Macaca mulatta: one gene and its partner. The protein of the gene in region 1 interacts with the protein of each later gene in a pairwise test. Links are inferred from orthologs where the notes say so. Each region holds a gene or a part of one and is shown on either strand. Other genes may lie near its edges.

Region 1 (2,618 bases):
CCCGCGAGCCCGAGGCCAGGCGGAGGGGTGTGGTGGGGCCCAGACCCAGAGAAGGTTAGGCTCCTGAGGGGAAGGTGGGGGTCCAGGGAGCTGCCCCTAACACTTCCACATCCCCAGGTGGTACGCATGACGCAGCAGCAGGAGAACCCCAAGTTTCTGTCCCATTTCAAGAGGAAGTTCATCATCCACCGGGGCAAGAGGAAGGCGGCCCAGGGCGCCCAGCAGCCCAGCCTCTACCAGATCCGCACCAACGGCAGCGCCCTCTGCACCCGGTGCCTGGCTGGGGGAGGACACAGTGGCGAGCAGGGGTCAGGGAACCAGGCCTGACGCCTTGCTGATGCCCCATCCCTTCCACAGGTGCATCCAGATCAACACTGACTCCAGTCTTCTCAACTCCGAGTTCTGCTTCATCCTCAAGGTGGGGTTGTGGGTGTGAGCCAGGGCTCCGTGGACCAAGGGGTGGGGTGTTTGGGCGCTGAGTCAGCTGCAAACACCCCCACCCCCACCCCTGCACACTCCCCAGGTTCCCTTTGAGAGTGACGACAACCAGGGCATCGTGTATGCCTGGGTGGGCCGGGCATCAGACCCTGACGAAGCCAAGTTGGCAGAAGACATCCTGAACACCATGTTTGACACCTCCTACAGCAAGCAGGTCAGGAGGCGGGCGGGCGGGCGGGCGGGCAGGCGGGCGGGCAGGTCAGGCGGCAGGCGGGCGGGCAGGTCAGGAGGCGGGCGGGCAGGTCAGGAGGCGGGCGGGCAGGCGGGCGGGCAGGTCAGGAGGCGGGCGGGCAGGCGGGCGGGCAGGTCAGGAGGTGGGCGGGCAGGTCAGGAGGCGGGCGGGCAGGTCAGGAGGCGGGCGGGCAGGCGGGCGGGCAGGTCAGGAGGCGGGCGGGCAGGCGGGCGGGCAGGTCAGGAGGCGGGCGGGCAGGTCAGGAGGCAGGCGGGCGGGTGGGCAGGCGGGCGGGCAGGTCAGGAGGCGGGCGGGCAGGCGGGCGGGCGCACACAGGGGAGCCAGGGCAGGCAGGGGCCCTGGGCTGGACTGGCCTTTCCCGCAGGTTATCAACGAAGGCGAGGAGCCTGAGAACTTCTTCTGGGTGGGCATTGGGGCACAGAAGCCCTATGACGACGATGCCGAGTACATGAAGCACACACGGCTCTTCCGGTGAGGCCAGGGCCCCGACCCTCCCCTCGGTCCTGGCACTGCTGCTTATGACCTCTGGCCTCACCTTGACCCTTGATTCCCAGGTGCTCCAACGAGAAGGGCTACTTCGCAGTGACTGAGAAATGCTCCGATTTTTGTCAAGATGACCTGGCAGATGATGACATCATGTTGCTAGACAACGGTCAAGAGGTGCGATGTTGCCACTGGCCCTGCCCATCTGAGGCGGCGCCCATAGACTTATAAATGGGAAATTTGGGGCCAGGAGCAAGGGGGTGTTCCCAGGCGCCCGTGCAACCGTATCTCCTCTGCTGCCCCCACAGGTCTACATGTGGGTGGGGACCCAGACTAGCCAGGTGGAGATCAAGCTGAGCCTGAAGGCCTGCCAGGTAAGGTGGGTGGAGGGAGGGCCGAGGTGGGCCTGTGGGCAGGGCGGGGTCATCACCCAAGGCTCGCTGTCCCCTTGCCAGGTGTATATCCAGCACATTCGGTCCAAGGAACATGAGCGGCCGCGCCGGCTGCGCCTGGTCCGCAAGGGCAACGAGCAGCACGCCTTTACCCGCTGCTTCCATGCCTGGAGTGCCTTCCGCAAGACCCTGGCCTAAGACAGGCTGGCACAGCCCCAGGCTTGGTAAGGAAGAGGAAGGGGCCCTCATCCACTGTCTGCTAGCAAAGAATATACTGAGGTGACAACGCCTGCTCCAGCCACGTCCAGTGTCACAGTCCCCAGTAGCCTCAAGCAGCACCAATGGGGATGACCCTGACAGGTGCCCTTAGGGGTCTGGGAAATCCGACTCCCTCCACAGTGTGAGCACGTGTGAAACCCCCTCACTTTTCTGCCAGGGATAAAGCAGATGTGGCTGCCCTTTAAGAGATATTAAATGCTTTTATTTTCAATATTAAAAATCAGTATTTTTAATATTAAAATGGCGCTAATTTTAACAAAATAACAGAAAAAAACCCCAAGGTACAATCTACAGGGAAACTCATCTTGGGCCCCCCACCCCCCCCAACACACACACCTGACTAGGCCCCAGCTGTGGATGCCCAGCAGAGCTCCCAGTCACATCCACACTCAGACACACACACTCATGACAGGCTGGGGACTGGCCCAGGACCAGGTACCAAAATAGTTTTAGAAACAACCGTCCAGCCCAGGCGCTAGAAAAATACTCTTTGCAAAGTGAGGGGGAAGGACGGTGTGTGGAGTGGGAGGTGGCACAAGGTGCTGGGCCCCACCTGTCCTCTTCCCTAGGCAGTGGGCCCCCCCAGGGCAGCCAAATGCCTGCAGGAGGGCTCAGTTCTGGCCCAAGTCCCAGGCCCACACCCTGGGGCTGGTGCTGCTCCAGGGCCCAGGGTCAGGCAGGACAGGACAGCAGGTCCCAGTGGAGCCTACAGGTTAGCAGGCGTGGGTCTATGTTAAGGGGCCAGGCAGGTGCCAGGGATCCAGCACTCCAGC
Region 2 (3,655 bases), on another chromosome or scaffold:
AGGGAATACCTCTATGTCCACACAATCTTTCACTGTGTCCTCTGTGTGTTGTTCTTTCTCAGTATTGTGCAAGATTTCTCTTTTCCCCACATTCGCCACGATTTCATTTTTCACCTCCACTTCACTGGCTCTTCCTAAAAGACCATTGAGAAAATTGAAGGGACCCCATGATGTGGCGGCCACATAATTTACATTAGAATGTAAATACATGTTCTAAATCCCACCCACCCCTATTCCTAAAGAGAGTCATCAAAGAGTCATGAGAAACAAGCCTTTGCCAGTTCTGTGCGGCAAAGCAGCAGTTGCATTAGTAAATTTTGGGTCAGTGAGGGCCACTGCCACCACATCAAAGGCCAGAGTGGCTGCTGGTGCCATCTTGTGTGGACAGATTTTTAAAGGTGAAGTTAAGTTTTGACAAATAGAAAGAACTCTGGATCAGGCAGCCAAACAATCCACAATGATGGGTTTAGGAACGCACTGAAGGTGCAATTCCCCACTCTCACTTCTCAACACACAACTTGACAACTTGTATTTTTGCAGCTGTCAAACTGCACTGCATGTCACACAGCCCTAAAAGCAGCTTGCAAGTAATTTTTTCAAAGAATATTCAGTGCACTTTTAGAAATGCAGCCTCAGGGTCAATCTCAAGGAAGATGCTTTTGAAATAGCTCATATGAAAAGAAATCTAGCTTCTGCCACTCAACCATTGTCTTCCTGAGAAAACACCCTGTGTCCGTGCCCTGATACCTCTGCTCCATTCCCTAAGGGACTAGGGAGAGAGGACCAGCAGGAGGCAAATGTTGAAAGATCAAGACGACCACTAAATTAAATAAATTATTCATCGTCTAAAGAACATCAAACTGTTTTGGAATTTTTGGATTCTCCAAACAAAACCGCAGCAGATTAGATATAGTACTATGTTACTGAAAGTCAAAGCTAGATAATTTTATAGCCCAGTGGTCTCCATAGTGGGGTGCCCGTATCCCAGGGAAAATGGAGGAAATATTAGGAATTCTATTTAGAGTTTTACTCTAAAACTTCTTTGCATATGTTTTTATATGCTTTATAATGTACATTTTATACTAATGAAATAGTATACATATATAGATTTAAAATAAACATATATATTGGAAAGTTCCTACAATTATTTACCGAAGGAATGTGTGATCAAAAGTCATTTGAAGGCCACTTTCAAAACTGACATTTCTGGTTCTTTAAACATCTCACAATGGTTATCAAAGATTTAGTAACAGCAGCATAATCAAATTCCTAGCTGTTTGGGTAGCTCATATAAAGGTATGATGGAAATTAATTTATTTATCTTTTTTCAACAATTATATACATATCTAGAGATGGAATCTTGCTATGTTGCCAGGCTGGCCTGGAATTCCTGGTCTCAAATGATCCTCCAGTCTTGGCACCTGCAGCATTGGGATTAGAAGTGTGAGCCACTGCACTTGGCCACAACTTTTTTACACAATTGAAAAGAGCTGTGTTTCTTTAATAGTCATAAAGATAATGAATGAGGTATCTCCCTGGAATACAAGTCCTGAGAAGATGGGGCCTGGAGGTGTCTACGTTTCCATAAATAAAAAGAAGTAAGATGAAAGTTTCTAAATTAAAACGAAAAGTCATGGACCCTGACCTTATTCCAGCCTCCTTGTGAAACACTGGAATGCAGAGGGTGACCAGTGACAGATGAGGCCTCACTTGCATGCTGCAACTTCAGGTTGCACGCCAGAATCTGAAGGTTCCTCCCAAAGCCAACTCTTATGACAAATTATGACAAATCAGGTCATTGAAAATGGTATAAGATACTCCTCTAATCTACTGGATTCCCCAGTTTTATATTCTTTCAGAAGCAAACACATGGCATACAAAGGAGGATCTCCTCTGACAAAGTGGGCATACTCAGACTCTCAGCACGGCTACACCCCTACCACGGCCGCCCGCTCGCCTCGAGCGTGGCTTGAAAACGGCAACACAGATGGACCTGCTGTCCACAGGCACCCCGTGCCCTCAAAACGCTGAATGCTTTCCAGGATGTCGAGGTTGGCTTGCAAATATGGCCAACTTACTGACTTGACAGCCTCGACTATTCTGATCTTTTGATAATTCTGTCACAGAATCAGTTTAAAAAGCCACACTTTATATGTACAGATATATATGTGTCTGAGGAAAACCAAATAGTACTCTCCACATTGTTACTTAATTTTGAGACCACTTTCCTTGCCTTCACAGTCTTGCTTGGTAGCTTTGAGCAGCAAAAGAAAAGATATACTTGAGCCACTGATGGTGCACGACACAGAGATGCATGCCAGACAACACGTGGATGACCACACCGGTGGTAAGGAAATTACCATGAAGTGATGAAACAAATGGCATGCCGGTGACTGTTAACCCAGCAGTGACAGTGGCTCCAACCCCAACAGCGCATGGAGGGTGAACCAATGCTGAGTGGAAAGGCGGAAGAAGCCGAAGGAAAGCAAATACTTACCTAGGGTCCCATCCCCTGTCGACTTGAGGGCATTTAACTCTGCTTTCGTCATCTTGGTAGGACCTTGGTATCCAACATTATTGAGAGTGTCAGAAGTCTCTCCATTGGTAGCTATTTCTGAATTTAGGATTATTCCGTGTTTCTGGGAACAAAAATAGGCTCATCGTAATATTTACTCAGTGATATTAGGTTAAACTCTGCTTTAATACAACTAACAAAAAGGAAAAGAAAACCATTTTTTCCTGAAGTACAGGGTAACTCCACAGAGACAGAGAACTGCTAGGGTGCAGCGCTCGTAAATATTCGGTCAACACACACAAATCTGGGATATCATCCTCTAAAGGCTACTTCTTTCTCAGATGTTCCAATCCATGCCTTCCTTTGCTGGTGACAAGCTACTTCCACCAGGCATCCTTTTCAACTACAGGTAGTGGCCTGTGGGCTGCCCCCAAGTGAAGTGGAGCAGTAAGCAAGTCACTGTCATGCAACCTTTCATTTTAAAACCCTGGTTGCATTCTTTAAAAAGCAGAGCCAGATAAAGAAAGAAATATATCCATGTTCTGAAAGGGGCATATGAAACTTACGTTAAAGAAGGAATTAAGAGGTGGCTAGAACGTTCAGTATATTCAAAAGAAACAGAATTCACTGAAAACAGCGGCACTTCGCAACTGCAGACATCACTCACCCACGCCCTCCTGCCGCCCGCGTCTCTCTCCCTTGTGTGTGAGGAACTCCCCTGTACTGATCGCCTCTTTGAGGAGCAGAATTACGAATCTTAGCTCTAAGCCTGTACCTGGCTGGCTCACCGCTCTGGCTTTGACTCTGGAGGCCAAGCAGCAGATGGTGACAGTTCAGGAAACCCCCACCCAGAGTGCTGTCATTGGCACTTCACCTGTGTCAAGCAGCCCATGAAGACGCCTTAGCATGGCCCACAAAGGACAGGGAACCTTCTTCCACCTGTAATCTAGTAGGTCTCAAAGTCTAATTAGCGGGATCCTTGCTCAAACCACTTACCCAAGTCACTGTTCATCTAGAGAAGTCCTTAAATTGGGGGTTTTAATATAAAGAGGCAAATTAATTCTCTAAGTCTGAGTAATATCCTGGAGAATTTACTAATGAGTATGAGAAAAATTTAGATAATATATCAAAAAATTCTTG

The links.
Region 2: the proteins of FLII (region 1) and LRRFIP1 interact in binary tests that used the Homo sapiens proteins (3 or more experiments, as listed by UniProt). The link is inferred for Macaca mulatta from reciprocal best matches to the Homo sapiens genes FLII and LRRFIP1.

The regions. Positions count from the first base shown.
Region 1 is NC_133421.1:19,829,094-19,831,711, reverse strand, and holds the end of FLII (protein flightless-1 homolog), read left to right. Parts: intron 1-117; coding exon 118-272; intron 273-357; coding exon 358-418; intron 419-523; coding exon 524-652; intron 653-1,055; coding exon 1,056-1,162; intron 1,163-1,245; coding exon 1,246-1,351; intron 1,352-1,482; coding exon 1,483-1,548; intron 1,549-1,629; coding exon 1,630-1,764; 3' UTR 1,765-2,065; downstream 2,066-2,618. UniProt on the Homo sapiens protein: Is a regulator of actin polymerization, required for proper myofibril organization and regulation of the length of sarcomeric thin filaments. It also plays a role in the assembly of cardiomyocyte cell adhesion complexes.
Region 2 is NC_133417.1:143,002,243-143,005,897, reverse strand, and holds part of LRRFIP1 (leucine-rich repeat flightless-interacting protein 1), read right to left. Parts: intron 2,640-3,655; coding exon 2,498-2,639; intron 135-2,497; coding exon 1-134.